Macaca fascicularis: one gene and its partner. The main gene of each other region encodes a partner of the protein of the gene in region 2 in a complex. Links are inferred from orthologs where the notes say so. Each region holds a gene or a part of one and is shown on either strand. Other genes may lie near its edges.

What was found. Proteins that work in one complex are often made in the same cells at the same time.
Region 1: PFDN6 (region 2) and ASDURF share a complex: the UniProt entries of both Homo sapiens proteins name them as parts of the PAQosome complex. The link is inferred for Macaca fascicularis from reciprocal best matches to the Homo sapiens genes PFDN6 and ASDURF.

Annotation. Positions count from the first base shown.
Region 1 is NC_088386.1:85,308,239-85,312,409, forward strand, and holds the start of ASDURF (ASDURF protein), read left to right. Parts: upstream 1-1,244; 5' UTR 1,245-1,249; coding exon 1,250-1,393; intron 1,394-3,682; coding exon 3,683-3,736; intron 3,737-4,171.
Region 2 is NC_088378.1:138,412,882-138,416,141, forward strand, and holds PFDN6 (prefoldin subunit 6), read right to left. Parts: upstream 1,898-3,260; 5' UTR 1,866-1,897; exon of another isoform or gene 1,725-1,865; 5' UTR 1,638-1,724; coding exon 1,574-1,637; intron 1,347-1,573; coding exon 1,276-1,346; intron 1,195-1,275; coding exon 1,070-1,194; intron 810-1,069; coding exon 680-809; 3' UTR 597-679; downstream 1-596. Other genes in the region: WDR46 (WD repeat-containing protein 46), read left to right, coding at 2,315-2,392, 2,490-2,699, 2,803-2,883, 3,027-3,139. UniProt on the Homo sapiens protein: Binds specifically to cytosolic chaperonin (c-CPN) and transfers target proteins to it. Binds to nascent polypeptide chain and promotes folding in an environment in which there are many competing pathways for nonnative proteins.

The DNA.
Region 1 (4,171 bases), on a different chromosome or scaffold from region 2:
CAAATGGTTAGACCACAAAACCAAACTCCCAATCATTGCTGCTATCAATGCATCAGTAATGTATAAGTTATACCTGAATAGTTTATCAGGAATATACAAATAAGAAACAAAAATAAAATTCTAAAAATCAATTAAGAAGGAAAAATATATAACCACTTCGGATTTCTCTAAGAGCAAATAAAAAACATGCCTGGACTTAAACAACCCATGATGTATACATTTCTGTCGCGAGACAGTTTGATTCATCACATAAATCCACTTGGGCATCTCTGCGGAACCTTAAGATTTCCAATAATATAGTATAATTCTCAAAAACCTAAAATCATGTCTCTAATGTGAACATAAAACAAATACATGTCAAAGTTTTATTCAACTCATTAGTTAGTGAGGGAACCGATAAGACTTTAAAACCAATACAGAATATTAGAGAAGCTAGGCATATATTAATAAAGAAATGTTAGGACACAATTGCAGGGTTAGAGACAAAGCTGACGAATGTGTTACAGAACAATACATCATAACCTGTGTTGGTATCTGGTACACCAAAAAAATTATTTGCATCTCTACCAAACCAAAATCTCTACCAAAGTTAACCTTTGCCCCTAGAGAATTGTAAAACAGCCCAGTCAAGTCAATATAATAAAGTCAAGTTCAGAGCAGCACTGAAAGAACATCCAGTAAATAAATCTCTTTTGCCTATTTCCAAGTTTTAGTCATTTTTTTCCACGGAAGTGAGATATTGCAAATATTGCAGGGGACATAGACATACTAAAAAACTACGAATTCATCTGAAATTCATGCTGTATTTTATCCGGCAACCCTAACCACGAGTTAACCAAAACTTTACCAAGTCTGTATAGTTCTATTGCCAACACAGTATCTCCTATGTTCCTCAACTTCATCTTTCCCTAGATAATACATATTATATTAAGAGCTATTTCTATTGCACGGCTATTCTTTACATTTACCACTGGAGGGCGCACATAACTCGTAGTATACTAGATAAGACGTCATGAAGAAACCACCTGAGCGTTTCTGCATCTCAACCACTAGAGGCCAGTACACGAACCTCAGATTTTGCAACCAGACTGTTTACTCACGCCCTAAGCAGCCACGCGCAGGCGCGAAACTCCTCACCAGGCCAGACACGGCCTGCGCATGCGTTCAAGTGAGCGCGCAGACGCTGTTGGTAAAACTCGCGGGAAAAGAAAGGGTGCGCGAGGCTGGAAGCGCGCATGCGCGGTGACTAATGCTCGAGGTTCCTTCAGGGCCGAGCATACTGCGTTTCTTGCGGTGGGTGGAAATGCCCAACCGAGGGACGCGCCCAGAGGACAGCCCTGTGCTGATCCCCACCGACAATTCGACCCCACACAAGGAGGATCTTAGCAGCAAGGTGAGTGTCAGACGCAATGAAAGGCTCCTGGACTTGGGACTGGGCGCCACAGGACCCTAAAGTTGGTCCGCAGGGGGCAGCGTGGGGCCTGCCCGGGACTCGGCTTTGCCCTGCTACTTTTCTCTTTTTATTCTTAGCATTTGACAGCTACAGTTAGTCCTTTTATTTTCTGAAAACAGTTGCGAAAAGGAAGATATTGAAATTTGCCCCGAGACACGACCCAGGTGGCAGCGGGGCGGAGTTCTGGTTGGGTGTTTTTAAACTTTGGGAAATACCGCCCACCCCAAATCTGTTCCATCGCAGATATTCTGCATCCGGTTAACCATGCCAGCAACCTGGGATCCATCCTTGACGCCCATCATGGAAGCCTATCAGTTCTACCTTTGAAACTCATTTCAAATATGTCCCTTTATCACCGTGAACACTTACCACCCCAAATAAGCCACCGTCATCTGCCATCGGGACCCCCGCCCCCCTCCCCCCCCGCAAGGGCTTCCTAACTGGTCTCTCCTCATCCACCTGTTAGCTGCTGCTTCTCCGTTAACCAAAGCAATGGTCCTAAAACACGCATTGGGTTGTCACTGTTATACCAAAAAGGGGGAGGGAGGATGCCAATATAATATAAGCCTTAACTGCCATAAACAAACAAAACCTTTAAAGATAAATGGGGATGGGGAGGGTTATAGCCCTTCAGGTATTACATGTCCTAGATTCTACTTTGGTTCTGTCCCAAACTTGCAATGACATCTGGGCAAGTCTCTTTAATCTTTTTGTATCAGTTACCTTCTTTGAAGTAAAGTGAAATGTACACCTGTCATTCCTAAAATGGGAAAGCCCTGTACAAACGTTAAGTCTCAAAGAATGTTTACAAATTCGGCCTTGGAATTCAACCTCATTACCACAGCTCTGCCAACTGGGGAGACAGAAAGGTGCACACTCATGGGAATTGGGGGTGAATTTTCAAAAGACACACAGTCCATTCTGATTACCACCATTGCAAGCCCCTTACGCATACTGGTGGATACAAATCCCTGAGGTGTGTGAGGTAGCACAAATATTATAAAAGCTGCTTTTAGAGGCTCGTGTGATACTATGTAATTAGTCGTGTTCACAAAATAAATAGTTAAAGAGTTAAAAAGAAACTTAGTTTTCACTTAGTTGAGCCCTCCCCTACAAATAAATAAAGCCCAGGTCAGCACTGTGGCCCAGGCCGGTAGTCCCAGATACTCGGAGGCTAAGATGTGAGAATCACCTGAGCCTGGGAAAATCGAGGCTGCAGTGAGCCGTCACCTCGCCATTGCACTCCAGCCTGGGTAACAGATCAAGACCCTGTTTGAAAAAAAAAGAAAACCAGTTCAACAGTGCCAGCTCCATGCTAGCCATTGAGCTAAAAAGGGAAAAATACAAAGATGGAACATGATAGGTCTTACTGTCCCCAAATAAGGCATTGCTTGATTTGAATGTGTTTGACTGCACTGATTAGTACATAAAATCATGAAAATATTGAAAAAAGTAACCCACCCCTTATTCAATTTGCTGTTTTTTTCCCCCCATCTAAATCACAGCTTAATTGAAAGACTGGAATTCCTTTTGGTGTATATCATATATGTATGTGTGTGTGTATATATATATATTTTTACATATATATTTTTTTCTTTTTTGAGATAGAGTTTCGCTCTTCTTGCCCAGGCTAGAGTGCAATGGCGCAATCTTGGCTCACCGCAGCCTCTGCCTCCCAGGTTCAAGCAATTCCCCTGCCTCAACCTCCTGAGTAGCTGGGATTACAGGCATGCGACACTATGCTTGGCTAATTTTGTATTTTTAGTGGAGATGGGGTTTCTCCATGTTGGTCAGGCTGGTCTCGAACTCCCAACCTCAGGTGATCCACCTGCCTTGGCCTCCCGAAGTGCTGGGATTACAGGCATGAGCCACCGTGCTGGGTCTGGTGTATATCATATATTTTTAACAAAAGGTATAAACCTTGTTGAGTAACTGTAGTCTTTGGTATGATTGCTGGTTACGAACACCAAATCCCCTGTCTGATCTTAATGGGTTACCTAACATTTTGCAAGTCTAATCACTGTTTTTTCTCCTCCAACTTTTCCCCAACTGGACCCCCACACAGACTGCTGTTGAAGATAATCTGTATATTCATGAACTGCCCATTTGGAAAACCAGTACATCATAGCCCCTTATCCCATCTCTAATTTTAAAACAACCCCTTAAGGGATTCTCATTGAACATACTTTGAAAACATCTAGCTTAAGGAGTTTTTCTTTATTTCAATAGATTAAAGAACAAAAAATTGTGGTGGATGAACTTTCTAACCTTAAGAAGAATAGGGTGAGTTATTATAGGAATTCTGAATAACAAATATGTGGGAGGTTTATTTATGTTAACTATATATTAAAGTTATAAGAATTATATATGAGATTTAATCATACTTTAATAAAATGTATAGTATTTCAGCATCTTTTTAAATTGCAAGTTTCTATTTTTTAAATGGATAGATCTCATAGTTGAAGATGTCTTTTTTCTATCATATGCTATTCACATTGCATTTGCAACAAATGATACTAGTTGTATTTTGGTATCTTGGAGCTGTAATCACTGATGATGTTTATTTTATACCCTGAATTTGGTGTTTTCTTTTGATACAAACAAACTTTATATTGAGATGAGAAGAAACTTTTCTTTCAAATGAATGTGGATAATTATTGAACAAAAAAAAATACATTGCTTCCCCTCCCTCCAAAAAATTTTTACATAGATTTTTAT
Region 2 (3,260 bases):
GAGGTATTGGTGAAAAAAGTTTCCTCAGAACAATTTTTCTTCAGTAACCTCTCTACCACTGGTCCCTTGCTGCAAATGTGTATAAAACAATTTTAGGACAAGGAAATGGCAGAACAACTTTATGGACAACATATAAACTTGGGAGGACTTATACACTACAAAGCATTACGTGCTGGGATTTTAAGTCAGTTTAAGCTACATTCAAGCAAATTCTAGGAAGACAGAGGCTGAAAAGTACCAATAGAGATGCCAGGGCTGCTGGCAAAGAGGGTAACCACATTTCATCCTGGGGCCTCAGGTTAGAGAACCGTGAATTCTTTTTCAATTGAACTGACATTCCTAGTAATACGCTATGTTGTAAATGCCCTTCCAAAATAATCATGCCAACCAAGATGAGGGAAAGTTAAGGGTTGTATATACAGGCAAGAAGTAGGTTTGAGGACATTTAGGATTTCACTTTCAAGAAAGAAAGAACATTGTGCCACAAAGAAGTTCCAAGTGCAAGAGTTTGAACCTGAGGGGGTAATACAGGTGGTGTGTGTGAAGGTGGAAGGGACTGTGGGGATATGACAGAAGCGCCTGGTCAGGAAACGGAGCCAGGTGTTTTTACATTTTATTAGCTACAGTATAGATGCTAGAGCTGCCTCATTCCCTCCCCTCCCCTCCCCCCACCAAGGGGTCAGGCCTTGCCAGGAGCCCCTGCCTTTGCCGCCTGGGCCCGCTGGAACTCCTGCTGCAGCTGAGCAAGGGTCTCCCTCTGTTGCTCTGACTGCCGCTCAAGATCCCGGAGCTGGGATTCATATCGCTTACTAAAGAGAGACAAGGGAGACAAGTAGAAAGGGAGAAATTAGTAGGACTTACTAAGGAGGGTGCTAAACGCAAGAAAGAGATAGGTGGAAAACTTGAAATTAGGGAAGGGAGAAGGGGGGTTAAAAGGGAAGGAAGGGGTTGGAGGAACTGGAGGACTAGGGGCCACTATGGAGAGCTGTTCTGCAATGGTTCAACACCTCTACTCCAATGATTCACTGCATCACAGGGTGCAGCACACAGTGGTGGAATAAAGACTCACATTTCAGCTGTGATATAGTCCAGCCTCTTCCCTACTGTGGCCCGAGCCTCCCCCAGCTCCTGTTTGACTAGCACCGGACCCAGAAGTTTAAAGACCACGTTGGACCCATCCAGCAGGGCCAGTTCCTGATGGAGGGATGGGACATACGTGATCAGAACCATGGCTAGTACAGGTCCCTCCTCGCCCCACAAATCCCAGTCCCTCACCTCTTTCACGATATTATTTTCTGTTAGTTGTGCTTCAAGTTTCTGCCTCCCCGACATGGATTTACTCAAGTCTGGGGATAAGAGGAAAGGCAAGATTAGAAACATCAATCCTAGTCAGGTGGATATGGATCTGAGGAAGCAGAAAAAGATGGGGGCAGCGGGTCAGTGAATAGGGAAGAGTACTGAAGCGGGAAAGTCTCTGCACGCAAGGGCCCAGATGGGGCAACAAACCTTATCTCGGTAATGGCTTTGGGTTGTGAGTGCATTGGGCGAGGCCATACCGACCCTGCTCCCTTACCCTTCTGTAGCTGTTGATATTTCTCCACTTCTCCCTGCAGCTTCTTCTGGATCAGCTCCGCCATGGCAGGGATGAAAGCCTACGGGGAGCGAGACAAGGGCGCTGCGTCTCACTCTCTGGAAGGTACCTGAGCTCCCTTTTCTGATCTCGCCTGCGGAAATGATAGCACTCTTGAGAGGCAGCCCTGAGGGGCACCGCCACCTCCCCCCCGTCCTGGGTATCGACTCCACCCCGTCCCCAGGATATGGTGGGCGAAACGCAAGACCGTAAGCCTCTCAACCGAAATCCCAACCTATTCACGTTCTGCTTTCAGTAGTAATAAACCCGGAAGTAAACGAGGAATGCCGGGAAAAGACTGCGCCGGAAGTTTCTTTCTGACCCTTGATGGGAAGTGTAGTTCTGACATGTTTAGCGAATGGAGTTCTGCTACAAAGACTGGACTCGGATATTTTTAGGCAAGATGGGGAAACTAACCCGGAAAAAGAAACCGCACCGCTACTTAGCCCCTGGTCCCGGGCCTGCCTTTCTTTTGTAAGTCACTCTTGCATAAGCTGCCGCTCCCGATAAGGTGCCAAGAGCTCTTCCGCCCCTCTAAGGAAAGCGTGCCCTCACTCAAGATGGCGCCTAGAGAGCTTCAGACCTGGTACGCTGCTGATTGGATGAAGGATAGAGGGCTTCCGGGAGTTTTCAAGCCGACTGTGGGGCAGCTGAGAGAAGTTTTGCACGTGGATCGCCGTTCGGATGGGCGAGATGGAGACAGCCCCCAAGCCGGGCAGGGATGTCCCGCCCAAGAAAGACAAACTTCAGACCAAGAGAAAGGTATCGGCCTCCCTGGGTGGGAAAGGAAGTTTTTTGCTGCGGGGTCGGGGGGGCGGGGCGTGGGTGCGGAGTATCAGAGTTCCTGATCTGCTTGTAGAAACCGCGGCGATACTGGGAGGAAGAGACTGTTCCGACCACAGACGGAGCCTCTCCAGGGCCTCCTTGTAACAAGAAGAATCGGGAGCTCCGTCCTCAGAGACCAAAAAATGCTCACATATTAAAGAAGTCTCGGATCTCTAAGCAGCCTCAGGTCCCGAAGAAACCCCGAGAGTGGAAGAACCCGGAGTCCCAGCGGAGCTTGTCCGGGGTGAACGTGGAACCTAATGGGTGGCGAGGCAGGGCGCCTTGTGCTTTGAAAGGGTTGGGGTCAATCCAAGGCTGTCTACTAACTGCGTTCTCCTTTCCCCTAGGCCCAAGATCCATTCCCAGGCCCCGCCCCCGTCCCTGTGGAGGTGGTCCAGAAGTTCTGTCGTATTGACAAATCCCGAAAGGTGAGGTCCAGCCGGAGAGTTGGGAAGTGTTGGAGGCAGGGAGTGTCTGAGTGAGTTGAATGGAGGCTGGGCTAGGTAGCTCTCCTGTGACCCCACTTATCCTATGGTTCTTCTGCCACTCCTCCCCACCAACAATGTTATAGCTACCACGTTCTAAAGCCAAAACTCGAAGCCGACTTGAGGTGGCTGAAGCTGAGGAAGAGGAAACAAGTATCAAAGCTGCTCGTTCTGAGCTGCTGCTTGCTGAGGAACCGGGGTGAGTGGGCCCTAATCTGGACCCCCAATCCTTGCCTTATAGGACTGTCTTTTCTCGTTTTTATGTTGGTACACTTGCTTCATATTGGGAAACTTTACTGCTATCCTAACCCTTGCTTTCA